3 linked regions of the Danio rerio genome follow. Each later gene encodes a partner of the first gene's protein in a complex. Links are inferred from orthologs where the notes say so. Each region holds a gene or a part of one and is shown on either strand. Other genes may lie near its edges.

The links. The genes of interacting proteins can lie anywhere in the genome.
Region 2: the proteins of abl1 (region 1) and sh3bp1 are in contact, whole or in part, in a crystal structure (PDB 1ABO), measured with the Mus musculus proteins. The link is inferred for Danio rerio from reciprocal best matches to the Homo sapiens genes ABL1 and SH3BP1. Residues at the interface, in NP_033724.2 of Mus musculus: Tyr70, Phe72, Ser75, Gly76, Asp77, Thr79, Asn94, Glu98, Trp99, Trp110, Pro112, Asn114, Tyr115; in NP_001303613.1 of Mus musculus: Ala607, Pro608, Thr609, Met610, Pro611, Pro612, Pro613, Leu614, Pro615, Pro616.
Region 3: the proteins of abl1 (region 1) and crk are in contact, whole or in part, in an NMR structure (PDB 1JU5), measured with the Homo sapiens proteins. The link is inferred for Danio rerio from reciprocal best matches to the Homo sapiens genes ABL1 and CRK. Residues at the interface, in NP_005148.2 of Homo sapiens: Tyr70, Phe72, Asp77, Asn78, Thr79, Asn94, His95, Asn96, Gly97, Glu98, Trp99, Trp110, Pro112, Ser113, Asn114, Tyr115; in NP_058431.2 of Homo sapiens: Pro44, Asp46, Asn63, Gly66, Pro67, Arg68, Pro69, Pro70, Val71, Pro72, Pro73, Ser74, Pro75, Pro80, Gly81, Ser83, Pro84, Ser85.

What each region holds. Positions count from the first base shown.
Region 1 is NC_133180.1:78,511,386-78,517,111, reverse strand, and holds the start of abl1 (tyrosine-protein kinase ABL1), read right to left. Parts: upstream 3,675-5,726; 5' UTR 2,881-3,674; coding exon 2,745-2,880; intron 1-2,744. Other genes in the region: exosc2 (exosome complex component RRP4), read right to left, coding at 5,132-5,212, 5,328-5,456. UniProt on the Homo sapiens protein: Non-receptor tyrosine-protein kinase that plays a role in many key processes linked to cell growth and survival such as cytoskeleton remodeling in response to extracellular stimuli, cell motility and adhesion, receptor endocytosis, autophagy, DNA damage response and apoptosis.
Region 2 is NC_133187.1:20,897,713-20,901,772, reverse strand, and holds part of sh3bp1 (SH3 domain-binding protein 1), read right to left. Parts: intron 3,924-4,060; coding exon 3,794-3,923; intron 3,712-3,793; coding exon 3,449-3,711; intron 3,375-3,448; coding exon 3,088-3,374; 3' UTR 1-3,087. UniProt on the Homo sapiens protein: GTPase activating protein (GAP) which specifically converts GTP-bound Rho-type GTPases including RAC1 and CDC42 in their inactive GDP-bound form.
Region 3 is NC_133190.1:27,220,523-27,224,964, forward strand, and holds the end of crk (adapter molecule crk), read left to right. Parts: intron 1-2,759; coding exon 2,760-2,897; 3' UTR 2,898-3,169; downstream 3,170-4,442. UniProt on the Homo sapiens protein: Involved in cell branching and adhesion mediated by BCAR1-CRK-RAPGEF1 signaling and activation of RAP1.

The sequences.
Region 1 (5,726 bases):
GCAAGCTCTGTGACTGGACAACTTGGTAGCGGTAATGAGTGTGGGTGAGGTGAGAGCCCCGCGAGCCCGATGGAGCAAGTGTTTACAAGTGTGGAGTCTCGTAAAGGAGCTTCAGATGGAGAATGAGGTATTGTGTTCACCTCCTGATTAAAGTTGGGGGGGTCAGCACATCAAAGTTGTGTAATATCACAGTATGGAGATAAGAGCTGTGAACCTACACTTCTTGTATTAAAATGTATAAATATATTTATATACTATTTGTAATGCAATTGTGTCCTTTAATACTAACAGTCAGATATATAAACTGTACCTTTAAACAACACGAGCATTTATAGCAAATAAACAAATATAAATATCCAGCTCGCGATCTGAACCTTGTCTAGCGAGTTCTTTCTTACACTCATTTGATTGGTCATGCGCTCAACAGAAAGGGCTGCGATTGGCTGCGATCACAGCTGATCCATCATAGACACGGTGGAGAAAACTCTGCAGACACGCGCTCATGTCTGTATACAGAGGTATCACTGTAACAGCCAGGAGGAGAGGAAAAGTCACGCCAGCAGGTCAAATGGGCCACAGTGAGAGAGAGAGAGAGAGAGAGAGAGAGAGAGAGAGAGAGAGTGAGAGAGAGAGAGAGAGAGTGAGAGAGAGAGAGAGAGAGTGAGAGAGAGAGAGAGAGAGAGAGAGAGAGAGAGAGAGAGAGTGAGAGAGAGAGACAGAGAGTGAGAGAGAGAGAGAGAGAGTGAGAGAGAGAGAGAGAGAGAGAGAGAGAGAGAGTGAGAGAGAGAGAGAGAGAGAGAGAGAGAGAGAAATGGAGTTTACTTTCATTCTCTCAATGGCAGTGAAATGGAGCTTCTGCTGTAAGTGTCAGGGAAACTGTCCAGCAAACACACACGCAGTCAAATTTGTGCACAGTTTCTGCGTTTTTAAGTAGTTGGAGCGTAGTAAATACTCGCGCTCGCCTCCCTCGCCATAGTAAGCTACAAAACATAGTGCAAATGAGATAAATGACATCAGTATATAGTAAGCGGTTATGATTATTACTCAACCGATACCAAATTTTACATTTACATTTAGCAGACGCTTTTATTCAAAGAGACTTACAAATGAGGACAAGGAAGCAATTTACACAACTATAAGAGCAACAATGAATAAGTGCTGTAGGCAAGTTTCAGGTCTGTAAAGTATAAGAAGGAAAGCATTAGTATTTATTATTATTATTATTATTTATTTTTTAGTACAGTTAGCGTTATATCCAGAGAGGCACTTGCAGATTAGGAAGGGAAGTGAAGGCTAAATAGTTGAGTTTTTAGTGGTTTTTTGAAGACAGCGAGTGACTCTGCTGTTCTGATGCAGTTAGGGAGTTCATTCCACCAACTGGGCAAATTGAGCGTGAGAGTTCGGGAAAGTGATGTCTTCCCTCTTTGGGATGGAACCACGAGGCGACGTTCATTCACAGAACGCAAGTTTCTGGAGGGCACATACATCTGCAGAAGTGAGAGCAGATAAGAAGGAGCAAAGCCAGAAGTCGCTTTGTAAGCAAACATCAGAGCTTTGAATTTGATGCGAGCAGCAACTGGCAGCCAGTGCAAACGGATGAGCAGCGGAGTGACATGTGCTCTTTTAGCTTCATTAAAGACCACTCGTGCTGCTGCGTTCTGGAGCAGCTGAAGAGGCTTGATAGAGTTAGCTGGATCTTTCTGATGTTCTGAATTGTCTGCATTTGCTTCGTGGTGGACTGAAGAAACAATTAATTTTGAAACTCCTATCTAAAATATATTCTTTTTAAAAGTCGGGATAGAAAACTTTTTTCCTCTTTGTACACAATTTATTTCAATTTGAGAAACATTTCAAGTATTTTGGAGCAGTAAACGTGAATTATTGACTTCTGCTGTCTTCATTAGTTTCAAAAGCACTGATTTCTTTACTATTTAAAACAGTGTCTTTGGAGATCTTTACTGCTGGAGATACTGTTGTCCTAAAAAAAAATGTAAATAAAAAATCTTTAAAATATTTATCTTTTAAATTTTGACGAATTTAAAACCCTGACTTTTCAAAACCACGGTACACATTGAACACGGATATCGTCCCATGCCTAATCTGGACACAGCCAGAATGAGCGCCTCCTCTGCCATAAAGCTAAATAAGAGTTATCATGCCAACTTTCTACTATAAACTGAAGCTTGCAACACCCAAGCACTCTTCTGATTGGTCCACTGCTGTGGAACTGACTGTGCTGTGTGTGAAAGTCGAAGACCTCTCAACCAGACATGGCGTTTAAAAAAACGAGATGCTTCAAAAGATGCAACGTAGCAGTCAGACACGTACGTCAAGCGTGTGTTTACATTGAAAAACAATAGTATAGTAGTGCACTATACAGAAAGAAAATGCATTCTGTGTGAACGGCCCCTAAGCAGTGCACAAACACTCACAACCAATTTATAACCATTCAAAAAAGGCACCTCGCACCATTAAAAGTGCATTCAGTGTGATCAAGGCCTCAATGTTATTAATTGTATTATTAATTCCAAGGCTCTGCTGGTTTTCCAGAATTGTCATAGCCAATCTTAACCCAATTATAATTGCTTTGGTTCAATTTATAATTTCCACAACCACTGCAGAGCCTCGGGGATCTCAGGCTGGCTTGGCCTCCCCCTGATCCTAAATGTTCCCTACTGATCATTCGTGAGTGAACTGCCCCCTTGAGTGATGAGTGAATGTGGTGTGCTGGATCTGGCACTGACCGTGGACCGTGAACACATTGCAGTGCGGTGCTCCGTGCCGGGGCGTCTCTCTCCTCCCCGCGGCCTTGATGAAGGGCAGTGCCGGCAGGCTCGGTCTCCTCTGCTCACCCACTAACTTTCCTGGCTGCTGCCCCATAAGAACACACAGCGCAGGAGATCAGCTGGAGGAGCCTGAAAACACACACTCCCCTGTGCCAGTCATGCATGTGCCAGCCTGACCGCAGATCAGATCCCCGCCTTCTAGAGGTTAGAAGTGTTTCTAAGGCACTGTGGGATGTATGAAGGAGTCATCCTCATTCACAGAGTCAGCATTAATGCATGAACATCACTGCTGACGAGCTGTCAATCATTCTGACGTCACGTCAACATCAAACTCTCAAAGGAGAAGATATCAGCACATCAGAGGGGTCAGTGATGAACTCAGACGCTCTGGTGTGCGTGAAACTCTCAATGATCATCATTATTAGAGTTATTATGATAATTATTAGCCACTGGAAGAGTCTGGGAGTGCAGTAAACGCGTTTGGTGTGATCGTGGTGTCATTCAGTAAGCAGATGAGACCGTGTTTGTATCTCCTGATGCTCATTAAAGTCATGAATAAAGTGTGTGGATCTCACTGAAGCCCTCCAGGCTCTTCTGTGCAGATTTAACTCTTGCCTTTGGCTGTGGTGTTGAGTTCTGGTTAGTTGGTAAAGTCTCGTCACTTCCGCGTGCACTTCTCTCTCTCTGAGGCGGATTTAAACGCTCCTCTACCCGCCGCGTGTCTCCGCTGTCGGGCTCTTCTGCTCACCGGACACCCGCTCGGTTCCCCCGCAGTGTTTTAATGCTGGTTCTCGTCATGTTTTAGTAATATTTCATAACTTCCAGCACTTTTCTTCGCGTCGTTCGTCGTCGCAGGAACCGCCATGTTCGCGCACGCGAGCTGCGCCCGTGACGTCACGCGCCGCGCTCTTCCGCCAACAAGCGAAAACTTGTATTTTGTTTTGATGTGAACGCCTTGTAAGAAGTGTTTACCTATTGTTGTTGTCTCTAATATGAATAAATAATAATAAACAGTTAAAAATAAAAACGCTGCGGTTCCTGTACGCAGAAAACATATATTATACAAAACTGTAAGATTAATGCTCTCTTTAACATTCCTAATTAAAGACTTCAAACTTAAAGTGTATATGACTTATGATTCTCTAATTCAACAATATTATTAAATAATATTATATATTAATATAACATCATTCTGAATCATACTAAATTATACCTGATTGATATTTATTTCAATAATCTATTAATACAAAAATACTTCAACAAACTCCAAAATAGCTTTAATTTGATGCAACAGCGTTGAGTTTTACTGTCTTAAATATCAATAATATTTATTCTATTAGTATATATTATTATACAACTATATTAAATTCGATTGTATTTACATAGCACATTTAAAAACAACCATCATTGATTAAAGCACATCATAATGTCAGCACATAAATACATAATTATACGGTTATAATTTACAGCAATTAAATAAATCTGCTCTTTATAATAAGTGCATTACTGCTGAAGGTTGCAGAAGCGTTGCTCTATAGTTGTAGTTGTGTGATCACTGAAGCCCCCTGGTGGAATAAACACACAGAGCAGCGTCAGAAACACACTTAAGGGGTCAGTTCACACAGAAATAGAGATCTACTTTCATTTTAATTCATCTTAGTCCCTTATATATCAGAGGTCGCCATAGTGAAATGAATCACCAACTATTCCAGCATGTGTTTTACACAGCGGATGCCCTTTCAGTTGCAACCCAGGGCTGGGAAACACCCATACACACTCATTCACACACACACACTCATACACTACAGCCAGTGTAGTTGATCAGTTCCCCTATAGCGCATGTGTTTGGACTGTGGGGGAAACCGGAGCACCCGGAGGAAACCCTCACCAACACGGGGAGAACATGCAAACTCCACACAGAAACACCAACTGACCCAGCCGAGACTCAAACCAGAGACCTTCTTGCTGTGAGCACACAGTGCGACACCACTGAGCCACCGTTCCACCCTAATCCTCATTTGCTCTGCTTCTAAACACCTATGGGTTTCTTCTGTCGAATACAAAATAAGATACTCTGAAGAATGCTGCCGCTGCCTTCAATAGCAGGAATAAAGACGATGAAAGTCAATGTGTGTTTCTCCAGCACTCTTCAGGTTGAGAGAATGATCAACACACACACACACACACACACACACACACACACACACACACACACACACACACACACACACACACACACACACACACACGCACACGCACACACACGCTTTGGGTGTTATAACAAATTTATTACAAAATATGAATAATGTGGTGTGTGTTATATGCATTATATATAGAGCGGTGTTTCAGCCTTCATGCTCCATCAGACGCTGCCGTGTTTCCAGAACAATCTCCTCCATGATCTCCGGCTTCAGGATGTCTTTAATCTGGAGAACAGCAAAGATACTGAGAATGAAGAGCTGCACACACACGCTTAGAGACAGACAGACTGTCAGACAGTCAAAGCGACAGACAGACAGACAGACAGACGTGTGTTGAGACCTGGTGTTGCAGTGACGCCTCATAGCAGTACAGCACACTGGTGTCGAACAGCAGCACCTTCTGATTGGCCAGAGCCAGGAGACAGTTCCTGAGCCTAGAGACCACCTCACGATCCGACAGAGACACAGGCTGCGCGCACGCACACACAAACACACACACACACACACACACGCGCACAAGTTGTTATATTTAGATCACACACAACATTATACACATTTCTGTCCCTGTAAACCACCAAAACCAGTACAGACACACACACCCAATCATTCACACACACACTATCCCAAACACACACACACCCACTTACCCACACATGCATGCATGCATGCATACACTCACGTATATGCACGCGCGCGCACACACACACACACACACACACACACACACACACACACACAC
Region 2 (4,060 bases), on another chromosome or scaffold:
ATATTTTGGCTTCACTTTTCAGGATGTGTAATGCTACGTTCAGACTACTGTAATTTTGTTTTGTGCTCTAAATTTCCTAATATGTGGAAAATCAGCATGAAAGCCTATTAGTATGTCCGAATGCATAGCATCGAAAAACATCAGATGAGTAGTACATCTACTACTAGACATGGGAGACCTATTTCCTCCAAAGAGATTCTAAAGTGCACATTTGAGAGAGGAGCTGTAAAGTATTGTGAATCACAGGTACAATAAGTGATCACGTGATAAGGACAACATGGGGGATTTAGTATGTCAGAATTCCATTTACACAAGGGGTGTCCAAATTCAGTCCCGGAGGGCCGGTGTCCTGCAGATTTTAGCTCCAACTTGCCTCAACACACCTGCATGGATGTTTCTAGAAAAGAGCTTGATTAGCTAGCCCAGGTGTGTCTGATTGGGGTTGGAACTGAACTCTGCAGGACAATGGCCCTCTAGAACTGAGTGTGGACACCCCTGATTTAAAATATAGATAGTCATACTATATGGAACAATGAAGTGATTTTTAATTGAATTGTAGGACCTACTAAGTTACAATTGTGTCAGATTTTGTGGTTCTGATTACAAAATTCTTGTTCTGTCATGAAAATGAAATGTCAGAATCAGATAACACATTGCATCTCGGCAAATTATTGCTGATAATGTGAATGTAGAATAACTTCTGAAAACAAGCAATGGAGAGTGAAGGGTTGTGCTTCCAGATAGCAGCATTATCTCTTTTCACCGAGTCTGAAAGTGGTGTATGAAAAACCTTCTTTGTTCCTTTTGGTCAATGTCACAGAACCTGATTACAAACCACCATGACACCCTATGGCAGGACTTCTCAAACTCAGTCCTGTAGTTCCGGTGTCCTACAGATTTCAGCTCCAACTTGCCTCAACACACCTGCAAGGATGTTTCTAGAAAGCATATAGTGAAGCTGCGGTCAAACTAGACTTTTCTCCACATAGTCTTCCAATCATAAGCATGCGAATGTGTCAGATCATAGTGCGGAAAGTTTCACAGTTCGCTGCATTGCAAAGTTCAAGCTTGTTGAACTCTGTCCTGCGAAATCACATAACCTGACTGCATGAGGCCAATCGATGATCAAAACATGATTTCTCTGGACAGAAATTTAAAATATGAATCAATCGTTCGCTTTTTTAAATGTCTAAACATCTTGTTTAATCCCGCCCCTTTTTGCAGCGCCGTACGACAGAATTCCGCAAGCTCAAACTCTAGTGTGACTGCGGCATAAGAGCTTGATTAGCTAGCCCAGGTGTGTCAGATTGGGGTTGGAACTAAAATCTGCAGGACACCGGACCTCCAGAACCGAAATTGAGAATATATATAGCAACCCAGATACTGGAGGGCTACTACTGCTGCTGCCCTGCACAGTTTAGTTCCACCCTTGCTTCAACACACTTACCTGGAGGTTTCAAACAAGATTGAATGACTCAATTAGTTTTAATGTGGTGTGTTTAATTAGGGTTAGAACAAAACTGTGCAAAGCTGCAGCCCTCCGGGAACTGAGTTTGACTCCTGTTCTATACAGTTACTGCATTACATTCGGAAGGGTTCATCCCTATGCCTTTGTGCCTTCAATGCATTAACACTCCAGAGGGACAGCGTCGAAAGGATTAAAGCATAGAGATGAGCCCATCCGAACAGAAAGCAATGTGTGACACCAAACATCTTCCCTGAGCAAAGGATTATAAGTGTCCATCAGTTGTACCCTTTGAAATCCTTAATGCCTTAAGGCCCTTTAAAGTGGCCAGTTTTAGCACATTGGTTTGGAATGACACTTTAATACGGTAGCCATATTGACTTTCACTTCAAATTGCCCTTTGAAGGGCGATATATTTAACATTTGGAATAGGTAAAGAGGTTAGCCCATCTCTTCTCAAACATAGGGTGCTTCGCAAATCTTATTTGTATATCCTCATTTCCTTGCCTTGTGTCTTACATCATTTCTTAGGGGTGGAGCTAAGAAAAAGATGCGAGGATAGAGTAACTGAATCATGTGATGTAATGTCTCCTGACTTTTGGCATCATTTCAAGGCATCCTCATTTAATGAATCCTCTACAACCCTGATTTTGGTTTCAAGTCAGGACTCTTGAATATTAAAAATCATCATTTATATTGTACTGGTTTCAACATCCACAAAACCCCACATTTGTTTTTTTTATTTAATTTTGCCAGTTATTACTAAAATCAATTATATAAATTAAAATGTATGAAATCAAAATAGATTCTTAAGGTGAGCAATTTAACAGTGCAAGTTAATCTACAAAAAAAAAAAGGTTGTTTTGTTAATCTTCAATCAAAGTCTGACCACCTGCTTTCAAGTTTGGAGAGATAGTCCTTCTCTGTCGACGTCAGTTTGGCGGCTTTAGCCACAACATTCATTGTGTTTGCGATGAGGCAATAATGCGCAAAAAGAAAGCCCCGCCCCCTACTTAAAATTCCATTTCAGTTGGAAGTGCATCAACTTTCAGACTTTAATAATGAATAATTAATATAAGTTATTAACTGATTTTAATTTGTGCTGAAAAGTACATTACATTGTAGAAAATGTGAAACGTAACTGGGAGACATAGTCAAGCCAATTGGTTTAATATAACTTGGGTCATGTTTAGTCAATAAAAACATCCGCAAAGAATCCTTTCTCATGACATCATAATGTGCATTTAGAGAATTAAGATAGCTACAAGATGGCTGAACTTGATCGGTGTTTGCTGTCGTAGGACAGAGGAACGAGAAAATAAGTAGAGACATTGAGAAGCACCCATAATTTACAGGTGTGTTGTGCTGAACTCAATCCCAAGAGTCACACATGCCTGATGCCAAATGTACGGCGTCAAAATCTGGCTACAGAATCTCTTTTTAACTGGGCATAAATCACACTAGGAGACACTGACATGAATCTTTTTCTTGCACATGTGTTAAGTGTCTGTGTTTGTGCACACTGTCACACAGAGTAATTGTGAAAGGCTGTGCATGCTACTGCACACTTATGCTAACTTACATTTTCTTCATAGATAAAGAAATGAAGTATCCTTTGGGCTTCACTGAGCAGAAGATGAGAGCTGCTTGTTCAATGCTTGCGGTGGTTGTGGAGGAGGAACTTTGGGTCTTCTGCCTTGAGGTTTCTTTGGTGGTCCTCCTTCAGGTAATGTAGGCAGTGGTACTAACATGGTTTCTGGCTTGGGTGAAAGTGGTGGTTTTATTTCTGAGCCTCTAGGCAATGGAACAGGAGGCAACTTTGTCTGGGCTGTTGGGAATGACATTGCTGGGCTTACAAGAAGGCCTTTGGTGTAGTTTGGTGCCTTTTGTTGGATGAATGACCTCCTTGCTGCAGAAATCAACTGGAATTTTAGTTTCTCCTACTAGACCTTAAAGCAAAAGCTTTTATAACTGTAGACTTACGTTTATAAGGACCAGCGATCTTCAATGTGGGCTCCTGGGTGGGCAGATCCTGAGTTGGCTCGGATATGCAGGAGATCTGTGGCATAACCTGTGATTGGCTCGGAGTGAGTACCGGAGTGTAACGAGGAAGTGCTGTGGGCATGTGATCCTGTGTCAGTGGCTGATCGGTTGGATCAGAATCGTTGTCCCACACAACAGCGTCGCGGTTCACAGGAGCTGATTTAACAACTATTGTCACCCCGAAGTCATCAGAGGAGGCTGAGCTAAAATAAAAGATAAGATTTCGGTGAGTCTCATTCAAGGAGAGAGGTTTCATCTTAGAAACTACAAAGGAGATTTAATTACCTGTCAGTTTTTGATATGGATGGTCGACCGGAGGAAAAAGGAGGAGAAGGTAAGATGCTGTCAGAAAGAGGTCTTTGGGATGTTGTTGAGAGCGGGCTTTCAGGGAGCACTGGGACCTCAAAATCAGCTTCTGAAAAGAAAATGAGGAAAGTTTATAATTGGAGTTTCGTTATTTTTAAGTTCGATGCATAAAATAAAGCTTTATTTCCCTAATGGTCGTTCATCAGGAATTTGGAAGGTGTCTGTCAATTGATTAAAACCAAGTCT
Region 3 (4,442 bases), on another chromosome or scaffold:
ATGTATCCAGTAGTCAGCATTTGAAGTGGATCAAAACCTTCCATCTTAAGTTGTACTAAAATAGTCCTATTTAACAACATCCATTCTTGCCATGATTGTCAGAACTTTATTTGATCTACTTTAAATGTGGACTACTATATGTCCTATTCCTGACAAACACTAATGTGACTTAGCTTTGAATTGCAAGTAAATGTACACAATGTTTGCTTCAAAAAAGCACATTAATGTGTTATAAGTCATTCATACTGCTCAGTGGGTTATTTAATATTTTCTGAAGCAAAGTGTTAAGTTTTTGAAAGAAAAAAAATGCTTATTTAAAAGATTATAAGCTCATATAAACTGGAGCTGCACAATTATTTAAACACAATGTTCATGCACGTCGTTTTGTGAGTAAAAGCCAGCTCTGTGGTCAGTAGTATATCTCCAGCTTTCAAATGGAGCACCATTTACTAGTTACTCATAGTTCATGATCTGTTTGGTAAATGCAGCTACATCTAAAATCAAATAAAGATACCACATTTAACATGTTTTAACTTCCAATTTGTCTTTGAGATAATGTGGCTATTTCTGTTCAATAACTTTGTGTTCACACCAAAGGCGCAAGAGCATCAGAGTTCTCTCTGGCTTTCACAGTTCCAGCGGCGAGAGCGTCAAAAATCGATACATTAACCCCGTATTTAAAGGAGCCGTTGCAGCATATCAGCAAATTAGTTACGTTCCCACATAAAAATGTGTATTTTAGTAAGAAAATGTTGCGCAGCTTTTTAGTAAATTCATTTAACTACAGAAGATCCAGTTGTTGTATGTGCAGTGGCTTTCCTCCACTTATCCAATATGTGTCCAAATGTCTGAAATATTCTGAAGCAGCAGTACGGTTTTGTACTGTCGTTAGTTAGCATGCATTTCCCGTACGAAATAAAATAAAATTAATTAATGCACATCAGTAACTTTAAAAAAAAAAATTTGTATTTAAGTCCCTGTAAAAAAAACATTGCAACTGCAATACTAAAACCCTTGGGAACAACTGTGGTCGGAATCAAAGTTTACAGGACTGTGTTCTCTGGACTCATCTCAAGCGGTGAACTTCTACATTCTGATTGCTTGCCCTCGAACCGTGTCATAGCTTATTGCAGTAAAGTTGACTTGATTTAAACATTCCTCGACGTCAACGAAAACACGCTGCTCCTCTATGCTTATCGCCACCAGCTCTCATTGAAAGTGAATGACCTCGGGCTACTTTGATGCTCTCCCAGCTTTCGGTGTAAATGCACAGTAAAGCATGCATAAGATTTCGTTGTATTCTTGCATTTTTATGTACTTCATTATCAGAAAAATTACAACTCAATTACACCACATTGTTGTAGCTGTGTGTTTTCAAAGAAAAAATGTCAAGGACATTGAATCTTTCAATGAATCAATCAATCGTAACATTGAATCAATTTTTTTGAGTTTTTTCTTTAAATCTCCTATTTATTCTGCAACCGCTTTATGCCGCCTTTCCACTGCACACGACCTGTGACAGACCGGAAGTCAATCATTTCCAATGGAGAGTAGCCCAGAGCTGCATGGCGTTTCAATCATCTTCGTATGCGACCGGCCGACCGGATGTGATGAATTCCAGTGTTGTCCAAGCAGGTTCGAGTGCGCAAGATGAGAAATACTAGTTTTTTTCATTTATTCAAAATTTTTAGCGGTCTATGATTTTCTAGTATTCATTCATTCAACCATGGTGAACGCACGGAAAATAAAAACGCTTTTTCAGACACTGCGAGAACAGCTTCTCTCTCATGGTGCATGACAAAACAGAAAATTCTGTGCGACTGCCACAAGGGGGCATATTCCGACAGTCATGTCCAAATGTCTTGTGCAGTGGAAAGGCGACTTTAGGGATTCAATTGGGTTTCTTCTTTAACATTTTTAATTTCCACACGAGAGCACCCTCTGGCCTTGGAATGGAGATTTACTACTGATCACAGAACAGAGCTTCCCTGACAACATCTGTATAACAGCTGCAGCTTTTGCTAAATCACAGTTTGTAGCAGAAGCTAAAGTAACAAATGATGCCTATGAGTGATGTTGCGGTCACACTAGAGTTTGTGTGTGCGAGATTCTGTTCTACGGTGCTGCGAAAAGGGGCGAGATTAAATAAGATAATTAGACATTTAAAAAAGCAAGTTATTGGTCCTTGTTTTGATCTTCAATTGCTCTTACGCAGTCATGTGATGCGATTTCGCAGGTCAGAGTTCACCAAGCTTGAACTTTCCAACACATAGAACTGCGAATCTTGTCGCACAAGCTTGTGTTTCTGGTCTGATGCATTCGCGTACGTATGAACGGAAGTCTATGGGGAGAAAAGTGCAGTGTGACCGCAGCTTTAGCTCTGAATTGTTTTGTTGACCTATCAGAAGTCAATTATAAGTTATAGACTTTAAAATATGTTCATTTTTCTTACGAAAACATGCTAATTATCTTCAGAATGTATTCATTAATCCACAATTAATATAGATTACTTTAATCAAACATTTGGGTTTGGAGCTTCAAAAACTAGTTTATAATTTGATACAATGATCTGCTTCATCTGAAATGCAAAAAGCATATCTAAAAGTACATTTTGGAATAATTGTTTTAATTGTAAACTGTTACTTTAACATTTTATAAAAACATTTATAGTATAGGCGCCTCCTAGTGGAACTAGGTTTTCTAAAGTTTGCTATTTTGTGCATCATACTAACAAACGCTTTTGTTGTTGGATTTTTTAGGTCGGCGACATGGTAAAGGTGACCAAGATCAATGTAAACGGGCAGTGGGAGGGTGAGTGCAAGGGAAAGCATGGCCATTTTCCCTTTACCCACGTCCGCTTGCTGGACCAGCACAATCCAGAGGACGAACTAAGCTGAGAGAGCAGACTGTCTTACCTAGCAGCCCTTAGATGTACACTCACACACATACACACACACACATACACACACTCCGGCTCCTCACACATCCTCACTACTGCCCTTTACCTGTCCGCCTCATCATTACCTTGTGCCATTGTGTCTCATGCCAATGTACACAATTCCCTTGTTAGGTTTTATGCAATAATTAAAGATATTTACCAAGTAAACACTAAATTTCACATACAACACCATACACTACAGAGAGAGGAGCATTAGTGTGGGGCTTCTTGTGAACTGAGAAAAGAAGATGAAGAAGCCTACGTGGACTTAAAACATGAGCGGTTTTTGGTGTCTTAACAAGGGACTGTTCCTTTGCTTCTTTGAATGCGGTAGCAAACACTACTTGGTGTCCTAGAACACAGCGGCTTTCACACTACAAACTACATGAAAATATCCAGAACAAATGAGCTTTGAATAGTTTTTAGTCTTTTTGATTAGCTTGGCGCCACCCAACGGTGTCATGAAGCGGTTCCTACTAGGGCGGTACACTATATATGAAAGATGGAGAAGCCCGAACCCTCACCGCCTTGTTTTATTTATGCACATGTGTAATGTATACAAGATGCGTCATTATTCACTACCGCTAAGTAACTTTTGTTTTACTACATTTTCATTATATAATATCAGGAAACGCTACTTGCTCCTTTTACCATTATTGCTGTACTTGGAAGTATTACACTAAATGAGAATCTGTTGAATGTGTAACCCTAATTTCTAATGCTAGACTCAATTCCTCAACATACGGTAGACTCATTTGATTTTTGTTGTTGTTTCTAAATAAGAATCCAATATTGTGATATTTACACTCAAAATAGCCAATGTGTTTTTGCCAAAACTTCCCTTTGCCAAGGTTGAAAATACAAGTGGTGGTTGTAGTGAATCTCTCATATAGAGTGGTCCAAAACTATGTTATGATCTTTCTAAATCAACCCATTATTAATATAATAATGTGGTAGGATTTTATAAAGTGTCACATTAACCTGACCTAATGCCTCAAATGTGTTTTGCTCAATTGATTTTGCACATATGAGTAGCCTTTCTCTACGATTGGTATATGTATTGATTTTATTTTTAAACATCAGTCTCCATCATGCCTATGTTATCTGTCTCAATGCTAGAAATGTAATGTATTTTCACATTTAATCCCCAAATAAGACATTGCTATCCTAATGGCCTGCCTTAATTGCAGATTGTTGTCTATGACCAAATCAGCAATGTCTTTAGCCTAATTAGTTAAATGCAAAACGTGGGGGAAGGGAGTGGAGAATGTTTTGTTTTGGTCTTGCAAAATATTTTAATTGTATTTTTTACCCTAATTCCATTACTATTAAACAACATATTCAGAGATAGAAGCCGAATGTCTGAACAAATGATTACTCTAATAGACAGGCTGCCAGAACAACACTATCAAATCTTAATGCTTTTACCCTTTACCTTTATTTGTTGTTACTTTTAAAAGGAAAAAAGTTGACTAACTTTGTTTGGTAACAATGACAATCACCT